2 linked regions of the Astyanax mexicanus genome follow. The protein of the gene in region 2 binds, or shares a complex with, the protein of the main gene of each other region. Links are inferred from orthologs where the notes say so. Each region holds a gene or a part of one and is shown on either strand. Other genes may lie near its edges.

The links. The genes of interacting proteins can lie anywhere in the genome.
Region 1: vps8 (region 2) and tgfbrap1 share a complex: the UniProt entries of both Homo sapiens proteins name them as parts of the putative class C core vacuole/endosome tethering (CORVET) complex. The link is inferred for Astyanax mexicanus from reciprocal best matches to the Homo sapiens genes VPS8 and TGFBRAP1.

What each region holds. Positions count from the first base shown.
Region 1 is NC_064412.1:43,277,596-43,286,743, forward strand, and holds the start of tgfbrap1 (transforming growth factor-beta receptor-associated protein 1 homolog), read right to left. Parts: upstream 5,225-9,148; 5' UTR 5,144-5,224; coding exon 4,978-5,143; intron 1,894-4,977; coding exon 1,195-1,893; intron 1-1,194. UniProt on the Homo sapiens protein: Plays a role in the TGF-beta/activin signaling pathway. It associates with inactive heteromeric TGF-beta and activin receptor complexes, mainly through the type II receptor, and is released upon activation of signaling.
Region 2 is NC_064428.1:31,161,828-31,173,956, reverse strand, and holds the start of vps8 (vacuolar protein sorting-associated protein 8 homolog), read right to left. Parts: upstream 5,071-12,129; 5' UTR 4,917-5,070; coding exon 4,842-4,916; intron 3,329-4,841; coding exon 3,260-3,328; intron 2,093-3,259; coding exon 1,962-2,092; intron 1,570-1,961; coding exon 1,473-1,569; intron 721-1,472; coding exon 688-720; intron 590-687; coding exon 535-589; intron 1-534. UniProt on the Homo sapiens protein: Plays a role in vesicle-mediated protein trafficking of the endocytic membrane transport pathway.

The DNA.
Region 1 (9,148 bases), on a different chromosome or scaffold from region 2:
GAGTGCAAATGCGAAAGAGAGAAGGAGAGAGTGCAAATGCGAAAGAGAGAAGGAGAGAGTGCAAATGAGAAAAGAGAGAAGGAGAGAGTACAAATGCGAAAGAGAGAAGGAGAGAGTACAAATGCGAAAGAGAGAAGGAGAGAGTGCAAATGCGAAAGAGAGAAGGAGAGAGTACAAATGCGAAAGAGAGAAGGAGAGAGTGCAAATGCGAGTGAGCGATAGACTGCATGAGCACCTGAGAGATTTCAGCGATGCGGGTGCTGTTTGGATCATCTGAATGATCTGCAATTCTGTGCACACTCTCTGCTTTTGTGTGACAGGGCACCATTGCTTTTGCCAAGTTTCATGCAAAGAAATATCTGAACGATGTTTCTGTGCTGGTTAGATATGGTAAGTTCTGTTTGATATGATGTGTAAGATGGTCTGCAAATTACTATGAATGTCAGAACACCAGTACCAGCCTACGGGACATTTTCTAACTCTGTGCATTTGAATTTTGCTGTAATTGCTTAATTCCGTGGTTCTGTCCGTGTTTTCTGCATTACAGAAATCATAGGGCCATAATGCAAATATATCATTATTATACAAGTGGCATACAATGATCTTAAAATATTAAAGTTTTGTTATTTGCAGTTTCTGGTTCAACATATTATCCCAAAAAATATGATAGTTATCATGATAGGCCAAATTTGTGTAACTAATATTTTTCACTATTTCAAAATCTACCCATATTCTCCACCCACTGTTTCAGTTACCAGCAGAAATAATGACACAATACAGGATCATGATTATGCAACCACAGCATGCCGTATCACACTGTCTGATTTGAAGACACCTTAATATGTGGACAGGAATCCACCACAATTGGTCCTCAGAGCTGCAGAGAATGACCACTATGAGATACTGGAGCTGTAGATACAGTATAGTATAATAACATTTGCTGAGATAACTTAACTTTAGTGTTTGTTTGTTTGTTTACCAAAAGACTGACTATCTCTGAGCAAATGTAAAAATTTTACATGTGACTAGAGTGGCACTGCCGAGCTAAATTTATGACTGGAATTAACTGCTTAAATTGCACAGCAGTGGCAAATATATTGTCCTATATTCTATAAAATTACATAATCAACAAAATGCTTTCAGTATGCTTCCACATGAGTGACAACTGTTTACTGTTCCTGGTGCTGAACTCACCAAGTCCACCCGGAGCAGCCAGTAGGAACTCCTCCCTGCCGATCCTCTTAACGATGGGCTTCCTCTCCTCACTGTCGTAGGGAAACAGGTCCTGCGAGGCTCCGCTACTGTAGTTGAGGATCATGTACTGCGTGGGCAGTGCCAGGCACAGGAAGTAGCCGTCCACGCTGAGGGCACAGGGCTGCTCAGGCGTGGTCACCTCCTTCAGCATCTGGACCCGATCCTCGTGCACTGTGAAAATCTGGACGGCCCGTCGGCGCGCCGACACCACCGCCATCTCCACACAGAAGGGGTCGGCCGTTACTGGGTTCTCATTGACGCAGAACGCAATCACATTTTTCACCTTGGCTCCACCAAACGGTACAGGCTCCAGAGTGACCATGTCCAACAGAGAGACGGTGCCATCACACAGGATAATGAGACGCTCCAGAGCCGAGGCGGCCTTCAGCTCGGCCACGGGCTTCTTCAGACCCAGAAACTTCTGCAGGAGCTTCTGGCTGCTGTAGGTAAGCCTGCCTTTGGTGGAGCGTTCTTCCAAAAGGAAGTGATGGATAAAGCAGTCGTTGGTGCCCACGTACAAGTGCTGCCCGCAGCATTCTATGCACTCGATGCCGATGCGCACCTTTTCGCCCATCAACTGCTCCCGCTCCACAGCGGGCACCAGCTCAAAGGCCTTCACACTCATGCTGATGTTCACATCTGCTTGGAGAGAGGAGGGAGATATGAATTCAGAGTCAGTTAGGATGCACTGGAGTGAATTTCAATACAGACTTTCTTTAATAAATTTGCAGTATATGTTTACTTAGAATGTTATATACTTGTATGTAAGGATAGGCCTGCTATGGTTAGTTGTTATCAACTTGCTGTACAATACATGCACAAAAACGCAATAATGGGTTAGATTCCAAAAGAATAAGCATTAAAAGGACGAGTAAAAATACTTCAATAAGCTGTATTTTAGCCAATTGCGCTATTCTGTTCTCTTTTATGCTCTGTCAAGGGTGAGGGCGAGTCTACTTGCAACTTTTAATTGGTAAAATAGTCTAGTTTGCACAGAGAGCAAGTTATCAATAGCTTAGCCTCTATATAGACAGAGCCAAATATGTAAAGTAAGTGTTACTTACACAAGGATGATACATGTTTTAAGAAACAGCATGTTCGAAAATATACCGTAAAATTTTCAGGCAGTACATTTTGTCAAAAATCTCCAATGTACTATTACTACACGTTAAATCTACATTATTATATAATCAGCATATTATCAGTACATCTGTATAACAGAGGGAAAAAAACGTTTCAGTCTTCTTAAAGCCATGTGATCTACTATCATTTCAGTCCAATCAAGAAGAAAGTCAACAACAACCTGAGTGGGCTTGTACGTGTTACTGGGACCCGGTTGGGCTTCCCAAATGGGTCAAATCATTTCAGCCCACCTCAATCTCATGTGTAGTGTACAACTCAGACCAGCCCCATGTGTAACCTCCTCCTGCCCTCTTAACTGCCCCTTACAAGCACAGTTGCCAGGTTTGTGGTTTTCCCGCCAAATTAGGCTTGTTTTAAAATCCAGTCAAGTGGAATTTTAGGGGTTAGGGTTAGGGTTTTTTGGGTTTCCATTTAAAAATTACATTGGCCGCCAAAAAAACTAAAAAGTGGGTGTTGCCTTGGATGTTACGTCAACACGGCGGACAAACGTGTACACTAAAATCTTCCAATCTTCCAAGATTGTTTACAAAATAAAGAATCTAGAGAACATAACAACATAAAGGAGGACAGTGTACAAAAGGAGAGCAGGAGAGAGACGGAAAGAGAGAGGGGGAGAAAGAGGGGGAGAAAGAGAGAGAGGGAGGGAGAGAGAGAGAGAGAGATGAAGGAGAGGGGGAGAGATGAAGAAGGAGAGGGGGAGAGAGATGGAGAAGGAGAGGGGGAGAGAGATGGAGAAGGAGAGGGGAGAGAGATGGAGAAGGAGAGGGGGAGAGAGATGGAGAAGGAGAGGGGGAGAGAGATGGAGAAGGAGAGGGGGAGAGAGATGGAGAAGGAGAGGGGAGAGATGGAGAAAGAGAAAGAGAGGGAGAGAGATGAGAGAGGGGAGAGAGATGGAGAAAGATTGGGAGAGAAAGGGGGGGGGAGAAAGGGGGAGAGATGGAGTGGGAGAGAGAGAGGAGGAGAAAGAGAGGAGGAGAAAGAGAGAGAGATGGAGAAAGAGAGGAAGAGAGAGAGAGAGAAACAGATCAAGAGAGATGGGTAGAGAAAGGGGGAGAGAGAGATGCAGAAACGGAGGAAGAGAGAGAGAGAGAGAGAGAGAGAGAGAGAGAGAAAGAGAGAAAGAGAGAAAGAGAGAGAGAGAGAGAGAGAGAGAGAGAGAGAGAGAGAGAGAGAGAGAGGAGAAACCACAAATCACCAGGCGATAAAAAAAAAACTGTTAAACAGGAGAGAAGAGAGTTCAGGAGAGTTAAACAGCAATACTGATAATAAACCCCTTATAAACAAAATACTAAGGGGTACACTCAGTTGTTTTGCCATTCGCTTCAAATGTGTGACAGATATATATTTTGGGCTAGCTTAAGCTTATGAAGGGCAGGTTTTAGACTGACTTTGGGCTGGATATTTTTTGTTGGAACTGGCAACCCTGCTTACAGGCATCCATATGTGGGGTCAACATGAAAGCTGTTAACATAAAATGTACTGCTTCCCAGTTGGGCTACCCATACACAACCCGTATGGGGACACATTACCTGTAAAGGCTTCTTCACACCTAACGATCCTAAATGAGTCTCTGTAGTAAACACTCCCTGACAGCTCTGACAACTGAATGACAGTAAGGCTAACTGTGTGAAGCTGCTAGTCAGCATGCTAACAGAGAGCTAGCCTGCTGGCTGTGCTGATTAGCTAACTAGCATGAGACCAGAGCAGCTAGATAATTACAATATTAAAACAATAATGTAGCTGGCTAACAGTGTGGCCATGGTCGAACCCTCATCTTTAATAAAACACCACGGAAACCAGGGCCAACAGCTTTACACTGGCACCACAACACCAAAGAAAAGCTAGCGTGCTAACTGTTAGCCACAGCTAGCGGAGTTCAGCAGCGCAGTTCAGTGAATCGCAGTGTTCTGACGAATTGTGCAACCTTGCCAAAACGTGCTACCACAGGGTATCCTATAATAATAATAATAATAATAATAATAATAAGCCAAGGACACTATAAATAAATAAAATATTGTACGTAAATAAAATACTAAGATATAAAAGTATGTGTACTATCATAAATATATACATTTACGTAAAGTCAGGTAAATTTACAGATAAAAAGAAAAATAGGTAACCCTAGCTGAGCCTTAAAAAATATTTTGGTCAGGCTAAATTATATAAGGTTGATCATATAAGATAATACAAACAGTAGTAGCTATATCAATTATAGCTAATACCTGTACCTAGCTATGTTATCTTCTGGCTATCTGGATGGCCTAGACATGGATAAATCACTGTATGAAGCTGAATGCTTGCTAGATAAATACGAGATAATTGAGATCAAGAACTATTTTATTTTTTAAATTTATTTATTAATCATTAACACTTAAGCCAATTATATAATGCCAGTAAGTCAAAATTATGCTGAAAATAAAGTGACACGAAACAGAGGAAAACAAATGGGGAACAATTCAAACTCGCACATATCGCTGGGTAGCACAACTCGATAGAACACCTGCTAGCGGTGGAACTTTAATAAGCGGTGTTTTAACACCGAGATTTCTGCTGAGAGCCACAGTGAATAAAGCTCCGTACCCCAGCCGGTAGCGCCGCGGTTCTGTCCGGGGAGGCTGCTCTGCTGCTGGGCCTCCCTGTTCTCCCGTCCCCGCTGCTCTCCGCTCCGCTCCGGCTTTCCCCGCCCTGCTGTTGCTGCCGTAGAACCGGACCGGACCGCCGCTTCCTGCGGACTACATCCGCTCATGTGATAAAGTTCCGTTTAGAGGGCTGTTATTAAATACTTTAATGTGCCGACAGCCTGACTGTCATTCAGTTCACACATTTATCCCACACAGCCCGTTTTTACTCTGTTCTAACACATTATTTAACCATTCTTTGTTTTAGGGTAATACCTGATTTTGACCTAATGTCAATAAAACTTCATTACCCAGCGGCACCCCCTCGGAACTTTCTCTACGGAATCCCTAAAGGGACAAGGCGTTTATACAACCGTAGTAGTAGTAAAGTTTTTATTGGATCTACGTTTGTCCCTGATAACTAGTATCTAGTTATTTATTATATGATCCCTAACGCTGTATAAAAGTATCTAGTTATATTTAAGAGATAAAAGCAGACCGTACACTGAAACAGCACAGAAATAACAAATTTATTCACATTATTTGTGCTGATTTCTACACTGCAAGAACGCAATACGAGCTGTAGTTATAGAAAAGAAACAAGATATACATGTTTAATGTAAGTGATGTTTAATACACACAATACATATACAATCATAACCTTAAATCAATGTAAAACCAATTTGCACAAATAAATCAGTTCTGATGTCGGAGATCAACGTTTCAATGCATTAACAGATGGAACAATGATCATTATTCAATATACCGTAATAAGTACATTATTACACTGTCAGATGTATTAAAATGGTAAAAAAGTATATATATATATATATATATATATATATATATATATATATATATATATATATACAGATGTAAACATACAATTAAATATCCGTTGTTTAAAAAAAATGGAAATGTATGAAACCAGATCTATCTGATGTACTTTCGCACAAATTACTTCTACTCAAAAAATATTTTTTTACTAAAAATATATTTCACAAGCTAAACTGTTTTACAATATATAAAGCTAATATAAAAATAGATTTAAAGGTACAAATACACAGTAAACATGCAGATAATTTAGCATATGAGTGATGTAGTGACAGTATAGAAATATATTTGTTATGTACAATAGCTTGTACGTTTACAGTGTGTACAGGAATAAAACTGAAAATAAGCAACATGATTTACCACACACACATTTTCTGGGGAGTGGCTTTTAGATTTTCACTATAAAAATGCAATTATAAATATACACCACATGAGGGAGCCAGATACCCTTTTTATTACCTCAGTCCTGTATTTATTAATACTTACTCTTATTTAGTGATCACCCCGCATGTTTAGATCTAATACCATATATTTCAATACAGTGTTTGAAATACACTGTAAATATATATCCATAATGACCCTAATAGTATGCATAGTACTATAAGCAATGTCTTAAAGGTCTCATTCCATCAATGTTGTGGTCTCTAGTATGAATGAATGCTCAGGTGTTTCTATTTAGCCCTGTTTAGTTTACTAAATTAGAGGCTTGTGCTCATAAATATTCATACATGCAAATATATCGCCTTTGATTGGCTAACGGTACTGGAGCAGAGAACGTCCACCTGCCTTCCCCTTTTTTACAGCTCTAAAACTCAAAGGAGGAAATGTTTTCAGAGATACAGCCTTAGATGTAAAGATGCAGCACTGAGTGCTAGATAAAGTTAACCCTTAAACTTCACTTAACATCAGACTGAGGAAAGCACATCTTCCACCTCCCATCCTCACCATGTTCTACAGAGGGACTGTAAAAAAGCATCCTAAACACCTGCATGGGAACTGCAACACTTCAGACCGCAAGACCCTACAACGGATAGTGAGGACAGCCGAGAAGAGTCTCTCTTCCCTCAATCACCGAGATCTACACCACACGCCGCATCCGCAAAGCCACCAGCATTGTGGACAACCCCTCCCATCCCTCACACGGACTCTTCGCTCTGATGCCGTCCAGCAGAAGATACAGGAGCACCCGAGCCTCCACTACTAGACTCTGCAACAGCTTCATCCATCAGGCAGTCAGACTCCTCAACACACAGAGGCACAGCTGAACCCCACCCCACCCATCACACACACACAACACACTCACACAGAACTGAACTGAACCCCCACCATTCTTCAGACACACCCACAGAGAACTGAACTGAACCCCCCCCCCCCCACCATTCTTCACACACACACAGAACTGACCCCCCTCACCATTCTTCACACGCGCTCACACAGATCTGAACTGAACCCCACCCCCACTCTTCACACACACATACACACACAGAACTGAACTGAACCCCACCACCACTCTTCACACACACACACACACACACTCTCTCTCTCAGCACACAGAGACTGAAATGAGCCTAAATTAGCTCAAAGGGAATAGTGAGATAGAGGAGGAAAAGTAATTAGTTAGTTAAAGGATGTTAAGAGAGTAAGTGCTCTTTGAAGAGCTCTGTCTTCAGGAGTTTATTAAAGATAGTGAGAGATTCTCCTGATCTGGTAGTAGAAGGTAGTTAGTTAGAGGTGTTAGGAGAGTAAGTGCTCTTTGAAGAGCTCTGTCTTCAGGAGTTTATTAAAGATAGTGAGAGATTCTCCTGATCTGGTAGTAGAAGGTAGTTAGTTAGAGGTGTTAGGGGAGTAAGTGCTCTTTGAAGAGCTCTGTCTTCTTAAGTTTCTTTAACAGCACCTTCCAGCATTTTATTCTGACTAGAAATGTATCTTCTGTTGTATTTATTGTAGTGTTACAGTTTTATGTTGCACTATTTTTACACTTTTGCATCTTATTGCACTATTTTATTGTTGTTCTATGTTACACCGTGGTTCTTGAGGATCGTAATTTTGTTTTTCTTTTCGCATTTGTGTTCCATACATTCTTGAAACAGCTGTTCACTGAACATGATATGTTTGATACATCTGAACCTGAATCAAAAAGACACTGAGTTCAGATTTGGCAAAACTCGAGACAAGACAAGTCTGATCACTGATCCTGATAGGGCAATCACTGACATCCATACGTGAAACCCATGGACAAAAGCTTTTGGGTCTCAATTGGTCGGATCATACAGGCCCCACATGTGAACGTTATTTAGGTACACACTACACATTTCTGCTTGATGCCAAGGATTGAATCTAGCCAAACTCTTATTTAAGAAATGATTATCAGTCTTTAACAACATCATACTCCACAGAATCATGGCTCTTGACTGTTTAATTTCCTCTGTAGTGTTCTGGTAGCAGTGGTGGTGCTATCCCCTGACTGGCAGACAATCAATCAAGATTCTTCCCTTTTCTCAGGCCGTGACTCTCTGAGCTCCACCTGAGGCTCCATGGCTGTGTCCTCTTCTGTGTTTAAGATGAATGATGAGCAGCTAATCTGTGGTGGGTGATGGAGAAGAGCTGACTTCCGAAACTTCCATTAGTCTGGCCGGACAGAGGACATGAGATCCTGAGGGTCCAACATCCGGGAGAGAGATGGAATTAGTTTTAACTGAATTTATGGAGAACAGAAAATATGAAACATTATCATATTTGGCTAGTGTGGCTAATGACTCTGGCAGATCTGAATGAAACAGCCTAACTAAAGGTAGAGAGCCAGAAGTAAACATAGACACGAAGGCAGCCTGAAACACCAGCATTCACCCACTCCACCGTCCACAAACCTGAGTGAGCGTGTGCAGTGGGAGAACAGCAGCACCAGCCCAGTTTACCACAATTCCCTCTGTCCATGAACCCCTGGATCTGCAGCCTTATCCAAAGGGAAAAAACATTAATAACATTAATTAAAAGATAAGCTAAACAAGTAAGTTTTTAGTCTAGACATAAAGATTGAGACTGTGTCTGAGTCCCGAACATATTCGGGGAGATTATTCCAGAGTTAGGGAGCTTTATAAGAGAAAGCTCTTCCTCCTGCAGAGCGTCTCTGAATTTTAGGAACTACTAAGAAACCAGCACCCTGAGATCTATGTCATCATGGTGGTTCATAATAGGAGATGAGGTCTCGCAAATACTCAGAAGTGATCCTGTGTAGGGCTTTATACTTTAGAACCTGAGTGCATCTGAATTTGTATGATGATCTCTGTCATTACTGACTT
Region 2 (12,129 bases):
TTGTCATTCCCTTTAAGAGGCAGGTGAGCTCTGACTTTGGCATGTTCGTATCGTAACAGCGTGGCACTTTTCTGCGTCTCAACATTCAACAGGATATTGACCTGCAGGTTCACACTCTGAAGGTACGCCAACAGCTCATTTAAGGGAAGAGCAATGTTATTTTATACTTTTTTCTGTTTATTGTTGATGTAAAAGCTTTGTTTGTGCTCTGCAGTGTGATTATTTCTGTGTTTAATGCGCGGGGATGTATGCAGTGCACTGGGACCACCTATAAGAATGGACTTGATGATTGACTGTTGTCAGGGTTTTAATAAGTCAGTGGCGCACCTGTGTTTTTCACCACCAAAATAGAAACACGCCAGAAATTTTACTGAACACACCTCACTTTCAGTCTACCACGTGTAAGATAGGTACACCAAGGTGTATGATAGGGCTCTAAATAATGTTAATCTGCCAGAGATAAACTTTGCTATACTGTTTCAATGTTTAAAAAACACAAGATATTAACATTTATTAAACGTATTAAACACTCACCGAATACGAGGGCCAGGCCATGTGACGTTCCCACAGCGATAACACTGGACACTGTCTAAAAACACAACAAACACCAGTAGAGAACAAGCTGAACAGAATACAAACAAAAACACTGAAGAATTTGCCTTAAAACAAGCTCAGAAAAGTGCTTACGATGGCCGTAGGCAAGCCTGCATCAACTTTATCCTGAAAAGAGAAGAAAATAAAGGAGGATAAGTAATACAGTATAGCTACATGTACAGTAAAATGACATGTCCTTTTGAAGATGTTTAAACATATTAACATTAATTGGACACACCTTAAATGCAGTGGTATTGTAAATAAAGACTTTTTTTTTTTCAATTTATGCAGAAAAACAAATGGGATAATTTAGCCAACAACAAAAAAAGTGTTAATCAAACCAGAATACATTTTATATATTTAAGATTCTTCAAAGTAGCACCTCTTGCTTAGGTTAGACAGTTTTGGACATCTTGGCTGGATTTTCTCAGTCAGCTTTATGAGGTTGAGTGACCTGGAATTCAGGCTTTCAGTTAACAGCTGTGCTGTACTCTTAAAGAGTTAAATACTTTAATTTCTTGTCTGTTAAAGTGTTTGAGAGGATCAATTGTAAAGTAGTGAAGAGGTAGAGTTACAGGTATACAGTGAATAATAGCTCTATTTGAGTAATGTTCTAATCCAGATTATGGCGAAAACTACTCAACTAAGTAAAGAAAAAATACTTTTAGAAGAAATTAATGTCAGTCAATCTGAAAGGAAACATTTCAAGAACTTTGAAAGTATCCTCAAGTGCAGTCACAAAGACCATTAAAAACATTATGATGGAACTGGCTCTCATCAGGACCACTCAAGAAAAGGAAGAGCTAGAGTTCCCTGTGTTACACAGGATAGGTTTATCAGTTATCAGCCTTAGATGCTTCTTACAGACAGATACTCACAGCAGCCGAGACGATCTGAGCCGAGATGCCTTTCAGCACACTGTGTCTCAGAACTGATCCATGAACTGTAGCGGTAGTCTCTACTGCTCTCCTCCGCCTGGAAGAGACAATAAAAAAATACATACTGAGTAGGTTGTGTAATACAGTATTATATGCATTATATGTATTATATGTATTATAAACCTATCATCTCTAAATACAGCAACTTGAGTTTGTTTTAATATCCCAGCTCTTTTGATGCGTGGTTCTAGTTGTGTCAATCAACAAAATCATAATAATTACAACAAAATCCTGTGACTAACTGTGATTAGTCAAGTGAACCGCTTCAGCCAAAAAATAAATCTGCGTGTTGGGCAGGGGCAGGGCAGATTACGGCAGAAGTTGGGGTAAAACTTAGTGACCTAGTTAATTGCGTTAAAAAAAATAAATAGTAACCATTACTGATTCCTAATTAATCACATCCGTTAACGCTTTTTGTGTTGTTTGTACCTTTTCAGGTGTGCTCGGTCTCCACTGTCAGAGCTGGCGAGAGAGGAGGTCTCACAGGAATGAGCGTCAATGTTTTCTGTGCTCAGCAGACACGTGTCCTCCAGGATGAACTGCTCATCTTCATCTTCAGGCTACAAAAAATACAGACATACACACACAGATTAAACAAATCTAAACATATGGGTCTTCCAATAATACCAGATTTAAAGACAAAACTTTGGACACACTCATTCTTCTCATTCAATGTGTTTTCTGTCTTTTTATGATTTTTTGACATTGTAAATGTAATATTAAAGATTATATTAAAGCTTTACAGGAACACAACACAGAATTATTCCTAATAAAAGTGTTTAACAACCCAGAATGTGTTTCATACTTTAGGTTTTTCCAAGTATCACATTTAGGACAGAGGAGAGATCTTTGAGGACAGATCTGCACATTTCTGCAAAGATCTGTATTTTAATCTCAGTGTCTTCATGAGGGAGAGTCACCCGGAATAGTTTTCTCAGTGTCTTGACGGAAGGAGTTCCTGGAGGTGCTGAACAATAGCTGCTACTTTTTATCCCAAATCACTTCAAATAATAATATTAATCATCAAAATTGAGAGACACATCAGATAAATGTTGGAGGGGCTGTGGTTTGGTAGGAGACCATACACACATATTTTGGGATTGCCCAAAATTATTAGAATATTGGAAAAAACATACAAAATGAAATAAACAAATGCTTAAATATAGAACTGCTATTAGAACCATTATGCTTTACTTTAGGAATTATACCAGAGGAAGTAACAGATAGAAAGCAGATATTAATAGCACAAATTCTTCATTTGATCGCTAAGAAAACGCTTACCGTCTCCTGGCTAAAGCCACAGCCCCCCTCAATACAACAATGGAGGGAAAGGGTTAAGGATGTGTATTTAATGGAAGAAATAACCGCAAACCTACAACTAAAAACGGATTTTCTGACAAAATGGTGTCCAGTTTTTTTTTTTTACATTTTTTCTGTAAGCATACACATACGTAATACACATAAGTAAGACATTCTACCTATATTATACCTGTATTATTTTGTTTTATTTTTTAAATAAAGTAAAAAAATTACTAATAATATAAATCTATAATTTAGAAAATTAATTAAATACACAAATGAAGTAAACACTGAATGAGATGGAGTGTTCAAACTTTTGGTACTGTATGTGTCTATGTCTTCTAGGCCAGAAGAGTACACTAAACTCAGTGTGTGTATATCTGAACCAACCTCCAGCTATTTATTGCCAGCTATTCACAATAACTCACCTCATTCAGAATGCTCTCCAGAGTAGGCGGCGTGTCCACTTGAGGGATATCAAACTCCTTATCATCAATCTGAGATCAAAGGTGATTAAAAATTCCATTAAGAACAAAAGCTTAGGCAGTGCCACAGAGTCCTATAGTGCACTACCCCCCCTCCCTTCCCAAAACACATTTCTTCTAAAAGTCATAATGATTATAATGTTCTATTATTAACATGTTAATGTTAATACATTTGGGATGCACTAGGCTCTTCCTTGTTTCAGCTGCATATATGCCCATTGTAAATGAAATTGAAGGATGAGAAGTCAGAATAAAAACGAGCTTAAATGAAATAGGAGTAACCAGGCTGTTTTTAAAATGTAATGAGTAGAAAGTTCAGATAATTGTGTGAAAATGTGAGGAGCAGAAGTAAAGAGTCGTCTGAAAAATAAATGATTACTCCAGTAAAGTATAGATAACCAACATTTCTACTAAAATAAGGTAACCTATGGTGGTGATACAGGGCTTACTATTCAAAACATAGTGACTTTCAGCAACATATTGTACTGCTAATATTTTCAATGCAATTTCAGTAAAACTCATAGTAGCAATACACATGTGTAAACCCTGTGTAAAAGAAAAAGTTGACTTTATATCCAATCAGAACAGTGAAATCTAAATATATTTTTGTCAATCTTTTGTGGAGAGCAATGTGCCATACAGTGTCAAAAACCTAAGTACAGTTGCAAGAAAAAGTATGTGAACCCTTTGGGATTTGGATTTACTTGAATTTCTGCATAATTTGCTCATTAAATGTGTTCTGATCTTCATCTAAGTCACAACAATAGACAAACACAGTCTGCTTAAATTAATACTACACAATATATATATATATATATATATATATATATATATATATATATATATATATTGTGTAGTATATTTAAAAATAAAAACACACCAGTTTTGAGTTTGATCAGAACACATTTAATGACCGATTTAATGCACAAATCCAAGGAGATTCTTGCAACTGTTGGTTAGTTTATAATGTAGTTTTGTACTTATGTAGGTTAGTAGTTTATTTAAACATCAAAATTGTCCATACTGTATCAGAAACTGCATAATAAACTCTGTGTGTGGTATGGACTCTTTGTGATGGTTAAATATGAAAAAAAGGATAATGGTTGCTACTGCTTTTTAGCTGCTATATGTACTTTTGTGCACTTTAATACAGAGCAGTATGTGATACAGTGCTCTCTATAAACATAGACAACTGTAATTCTTTGCCTTTGCCATGTTTTTAGGGTTTTTCTTAGCATTTTTGAATAATAAATATATTATACAGTGTCAGAAACTACATAAACAATGACAAATAGAGTTTATTATACAGTTTATAACACTGTATATCACACTGTTGCCTGTAAACATGGGCAGCTAGCTAGTATTACTGCTGCTGTTGTTGTTGTTGTTGTTGTTGTTGTTAACCATGGCAATTTATTTGTGATACAGTCAGAGAGAACTAAATACTGAACCCGCTGAGATATAAAACAATCTATAATATACAAACAGCAGCAGCAGCAGCATAAATATAAACACACAGACTCACCGCCTCTATCTCCATCAGATTAACCTGAGAGGACGCAGACAGCAGACTGCGGGTATCCGGAGACTCCGACATCATCACACACTCACACTAACACACATTAACCCATTAACTCACTATAATACACACATATTAACCCATTAATATACTCTAATACACACAAACACACTGGCACAGACCCTCAGCTCCACTGCACTGCCCTGTTCCTCCCGGAAACAGCGTCACTCTTAGCCCTGACATCACCACACCACTTCCGCCCAAACACCCGCCATTACTAAAATAAAATAAAAATAAAATAATTTTATACACAAACATGCTAATAAACACACTATACACACACTATTTAATAACTAGACTATTTAATATCTAAAAATAAATTAATCAAACTATTTAATTTCTAAAAATAAATTAAATATGCTATTTCATATCTAAACATAAATTGAATATACAGTTTAATATCTAAAAAATAAATACGCTAATTAATATCTAATAATAAATTAAAAATGCCATTTAATATATAAAAATAAATAAAATATACATTTTTATGTAAATAAATCACAGATAATATATTTATTATCAAAATATATATTAAATCGATTATTCAATATCTAAAATTAAATTAGTTAAAACTAGTTAACATATATTAGATCTCGGCATGATGTGTAGCTTTTAAGGATCTTTTGGTGGACTTTACTTTGTCAGGCAGGTCCTATTTAAATTATATTTAAATGATTGAGAACAGGTGTGGCAATAAGTGTACTCAGGTGTCAGAAACCACAGTGACGGTATGTTTTAACAAGGGGGCAATCACTTTTTTACACAGGGTAGGTTTGAATTTTTTTTCTCCCTTAATAATAAACACCTTCATTAAAAATAGCATTTTGTGTTTACCTGTTGTTCCGTGTGACAAACACTTTTTCACATCACTGTATATAAATTAAATTCACTCTTTAACGTCTAAAAATAAATTGACTTTGGAATATAAAGCAAATCAAATGAACAGACTGTTAAACATATTAAATGAAAAATCTATTTATAATATTTAACATAGAACAATACATTTAACAGACAAAATAATATAGGATATATATAGCAAATACAACTAAATGATCTAATTAATATAGGATTTTAAATATGCATAGGCTATTTATTATATTTAAAAATGTAAATAGGCAAATCACCACAGGAAAATGAAAATAATAGTGATTTTTAATATAAATAAATAGCAATTTAATAAATGAATATGGACATGTAAGTATAGAATATTTAATAAAGTAAATAATAGTAAAACATTGTTTAAAAAAAGACACAAAGACACAAAATTTTATATAAAAAAAATAATTTGCATGCATGATGCAATTTAACTAAAAACAAAAAGTGAAATAATAAAATATATTAGATGAATAGACAAAAAATAATACAAAAAAACACATTTTTTAAATGGTACAGACCATTTAATGAATTGATGCAAATATGCAGATTTGCTGCCCCCTTGAGTTTAATACAATAACTACAACCAAAGAAATCCAACATGTTTAAAATGAATACTTCATATAATATAATTCTCGAGTCTCCAGTCAGTTCTAAGAGTGAATATGTCCTTCTGGTTCTGAAAACTTTGATTTTATGTTTTTATGATAATTATATTATGAGAACCTTGAATTTAATTAGAACTGTCTTTAAAAATAATTGGTGTAATATTTCACCTAGTGTATATATTTTAACTTTATTTATGAATAATTTTTATTCATATTTTAAAAATAATTTTATAAATTCTCTTATATTTCTCTTACTCAGTGCAGAAGGCTTACATCTTTCTTTTGCCACAGTTCCCCAGAGAGCATGCAGATTTAATTAGTATAGCTTTTTTCTCTCAGTGTTTATTTGAATTCCTGAGTGGTAAAGAAGATGTTCACTATCTCCTTTAACGCGGAGCATCTCTGAGAGCCAGGGTTCAGCAGGGCTTTGATGGGAATTCTTTTGAAGAGAGTGTGTGGATGAAGAGGAGGAGGAAGAGCGTGAGGAGTAATGAGGAGCTGTGGAGTGTGATGGATCATTATGAGCACGCTCTTTCTGTTCAGTATGAACTCCTGATTAACCCCCAACAAGCTTCATAAACCCCCATTCCACTCTTCATTACTGTAGAGACACAGCCAGTAATTTAACTCATTCATGCCCAGCAGATACTGTACATATGATTGGATATGAAGGATAAAAAGAACTGATACCTTGCTTTGATTGGTTGATTGGTTTACACTGTTGGTTTAAACACATGTCTGAACTCTGTATGTATTTTTTTGTACAAATTTTTGAAGGAAAATCATAAGAAAATCAACATGTGGCCAAAATATTTAATATTTAATATAGTTTTAGTATAAAATTAGTTCTTTTAGAGCATTTTGAAAGAGTGTATAAAATATAGCACCGTTTTTTTCTACTTGAAAAACTATTTAACTACTTAATTTAACTATTTAAATTATCTCATGCTCTCAAAATATTATCTCATCTTAATATACTATCTCATGGCCTCAAAATATTATCTTAGGATCCCTATTTCCCCAATATGGTCTCAATTTACTGTATCCTCTCATGGCCTCAAGCCATGTTATCTTTTGGTTATCTCATACCCTCAAGATACTATCTCATACCATCAAAGTACTTATTTCATGGTCTCAAGATGTTATCTTGTGTTTTCTATATAATATCTTGTACTCTCCAGATATTAACTCATATCCTCAATGTATTATGATATATAATATCATATATAATCTCATAGCTTAAGATATCTTCTTGTGGTCTCTATGTATGATCTCATAGCCTCAATATAATATCTCGTGGTTTCCATTTATGATCATGTACTCTCTCATTTTAATATACTATCTCATGGCCTCAAAATATTATCTCAGGATCCCAAATACCCCATTATCTTGTGGTTTCTCAATATATTGTATCCTCTCACGGCCTCAAGATATTGCCTACTAGCATCAATATATTATTTTGTGCCATGTTATCTTTTGGTTATCTCATACCCTCAAGATACTATCTCATACCATCAAAGTACTTATTTTATGGTCTCAAAATATTATCGTGTGTTTTCTATATATTATATTGTACTCTCCTGATATTAACTCATATCCTCAATGTATTATGATATGGTCTCAATATATCATCTCATTGCTTAAGATATATATCTTCTTGTGGTCTCTATGTATGATCTCATAGCCTCAATATAATATCTTGTGGTTTCTAATTATGATCATGTACTCTCTCATCTTAATATACTATCTCATGGCCTCAAAATATTATCTCAGGATCCCAATTATCCAATTATCTTGTGGTCTCTCAATATATTGTATCCTCTCACGGCCTCAAGATATTGCCTACTAGCATCAATATATTATTTTGTGCCATGTTATCTTTTGGTTTCTATATATGATCCTGTACTCTCAAGACATTATCTCATACCCTCAAGATAATATATCATACCGTTGAAGTATTTATCTTTTGGTCTTAATATGTTATCTTGTGGTTTCTATATTATCTTGTACTCTCAAGATATTATCCCATACCCTAAAGGTATTATGACATGGTCTAAATATATTATCTCTCATAGCCTCGAGATATCATCTTGTGGTTTCTACATATTATCTTTTACTCTCAAGATATTATCTTGTACTCTCCAGATATTAATCATATCCTCTATGTATCATGATATGGTCTCAATATATCATCTCATAGCTTAAGATATCTTATTGTGGTCTCTCTGTATTATCTCATAGCCTCAATATATTATCTTGTGGTTTCTATATATGATCATTTACTCTCAATACATTATCTCATACCCTCAAGATAATATCTCATACCATCAAAGAATTTAAGAACTTTATTGTCTCAATATATCATCTTGTGGTTTCTATATATTATCTTGTACTCTTTAAATGTTATCTCATACCCTCTAGGTATTATGATATGGTCTCAATATATTATTTTATGGCCTCAAGATATCTTCTTGTGGTCTCTAGATATTATCGTATAGCCTCAATATATTGCCTAGATATTATCTTGTGAGACATTATCTCATACCCTCAAGATTACATCTAATACCATCAAAGTATTCATCTCATAGCCTCACTATATCTTCTTGTTTTTTCTATATATAATCTTATAGCCTCAATATATTGTCTTGTGGTCTCTATGTATTATCTCAAAGCCTTAATATATTATCTTGTAGTTTTTCTATATATGATCCTGTACTCTCAAGACCTTATCTCATAGCCTCAATATAATACAATATCAATTAATATACCATCAATTATCTTGTGGTTTCTATATATGATCCTGTTCTCTCAAGACATTATCTCATACCTTCAAAGTATTTATCTCATGGTTTTTGAGAGATTATCTTGCGGTTTCTGTATATGATCCTGTACGCTCAAGACATTAGCCTCAAGGTATTATGATATGATCTCAATATACAGTACTATCTAATACCATCAAGGTATTATGATATGATCTAATTATACTACCTAATAGCCACAATATATTGCATAATGGCGTCAATATATTATTGTGTGCAATGTTATCTCGTGGCCCAAAGTTTTTAACTCATGGCTTCAAGATAATGTCTTGTGATCTTAATATATTTGTTTATGGTGCCAATATAGCATGTTGTGGTCACCAGAAAATTGATTTATGGTCTCAGTTTAACCATTGTAACCATCCATTCTGTATAGTGTACACCTAAGCCACTCAGTTGCACCTAAAGTATAAGAAAAGTGGAATTCCTCTTTAAGGTATGGGCTGTAATGTTGATTTCTAGCTGAAACTGTGGGATAATAATGGCGGCTACAGGTCTTGATAATGCGCGAGAGCTAGTCATGGTGGATTATGATGTTGTGGATCCAACATGGCAGCTCCGTCCAGGGTTTAATGAGCTGACCTCGTCAGCAGAAACGTGGCAGAGCTAGCAGCTAAATGTCACCCCTGTCATCGGGATGTTGTCGTGAAAGAAAAGAGCGTTTGTGGCCGTGTTGCTACAGCGCTCGTGCTCTGCTGTTGTGCTCGTGCTCAGGGCCGTGGGTGTATGAAAAACGCCTGTCACACGGATGTTGGCGCCGCTTCCTGACAAGACACTTGAGCTGCCATTTTACCTTGACTCCTCGGGGTTCTGCCGCCGCCGTCGACGGTGGAAAAAAACATCCCATGGAATGTAATAAAGCATCTTTTTCGCATGGACAGATATAAATGATTCTCCGTATTAGTCATAGTCCATGAATCTGAGCTCACCTGCCGCGCATTCATCACTGTAACGCATCGTTTTCCCGCCTCATTCTGTCTGAAACAAGGACAGCTTTCCGCCGTCCAGCCGAGACGCTGAATAGACTTCACAGCTTCATGGATGGATGTGATCTGATAGCAGATGGATGCTCAGAAACAGCCCTGCTGCTTGGCTTGAGAAGAGAACGGAGGCGAGGCCAAAGACAGCATGGCATTTTCAGCTCAAGTTTGGAAGATGCACCCCCTGACACTGATCTAGAACCCGTGTCGCCCTGCCAGAATCATGACCTTTAGAAGGGCAACGGTGGTGGAACAGCATCTGCCCACATTGCTGGACGAAAAGATGCAAAGAGTTTGATTTGCCTGTTCGTTTCAAATCTTCATTTGTGTGCAATTCATGTTTAACTGTGATGTTATTTTCTGCTGACTTGCCACAGACAGTAGGTTACAGATTCCTACCTCAAACAAAGTCTCATGACATATCTTGCTGTGTACTGTCTGAGGTTCTCAACCAAAATGACTGAACCAAAATGAAATGCAGATAATTCAACTGAACTAGAGGGTGGGGTTGTGTTGGGGTTGGTCGAGTAAGGGGTGGTGCCAAGGGTGTTCGATGCAAGGTGTTTTTCTTATTTTGACATCACAATAAGGGATAAGCAATTAAACAAACAGCTCATAGAAGCATATGATTCCTAAAACTTTCAAACTGGTCATCAATTTGGCTTAAGAGGAGAATGGAGGCGAGGCCAAAGACAGCATGGCATTTTCAGCTCAAGTTTGGAAGATGCAACCCATGACACTGATGTAGAACCCGTGTCACCCTGCCAGAATCATGACCTTTAGAAGGGCAACGGTGGTGGAACGGCATCTGCCAACATTGCTGGAAGAAAAGATGCAAAGAGTTTGATTTTCCTGGTCGTTTCAAATCTTCATTTGTGTGCAATTCATGTTTAACTGTGATGTTATTTTCTGCTGACTTGCCACAGACAGTAGGTACAGATTCCTCCCTCAAACAAAGTCTCATGACATATCTTGTTGTGTACTGTCTGAGGTTCTCAAGCAAAATGACCGAACCTAAATGAAATGCAGATAATTCGACTGGTCTAGTAGGTTGGGCTCTGATAGGGTTTGGTTGAGTAAGTGGAGGTGCCAAGGTGGTTCTATGCAAGGTGGTTTTCTTATTGTTACATCAATAATAGTTTCAGATTATAATATACGTGTTTGCATGTGCAAACCTGGGTTGCCAAATATAATGTGGCAAACAGCCTGAGCTACATGTATCAGTACCTTGGTTACCACGTATGGGAATTGGCCCAAGCCACATGTGCCAACACCTCAGTTTCAGAATATAATATGGGAATAAACCAGAGCCACATGTGCCAAGACCCCGGTTGCGGAGTATAATATGGGGACAAGACACTTTTGCCAACACACTGACCTTATATTAGCTGAGCTTCATGGCCTAAATCTTCATGCTGTTTGGGATGGGAGTGCTAGATTTTGTTGCTGTGGTGTTTTTAGGAGGCTGCCTGGGTATCGTGATGATGAAAGTATTGGGAACCCAGTTTTTTGGTGCTATACTACTGTTACTATCCAAAGAACCCTTTAAATACTGTGCAGAACCCATTTCACCAATAGTTCTATATAGAAAATAAATTGCTCTGAAGTATTTTTAGCATTTTAATCCATCCTAGAAACCTTATGCTCTTCCAGAATACAACAAACACATCATCAAATAATTAAATTATTAAGTTTCTGGACAGTTCTCTGGATGATAATGCTAAGGATCATGACGCATCCATATTTAGAACAATTCTAAAGTGATCAAATATGCAGTTTGACTTATTTAAACCAAGTGTATTTTGGGCCGGAGGAGCTGCTCCTTCATCAGCGTGAGGCAATTCCTACCTGGCGCCAGCTGGCAGCCTCCAAAAAGCGCACCATATGGCCATAAAGACCCATTTATTTGCAGAGCACCCTATGAGACATGGATATAGCTCAGTTAACACTACAG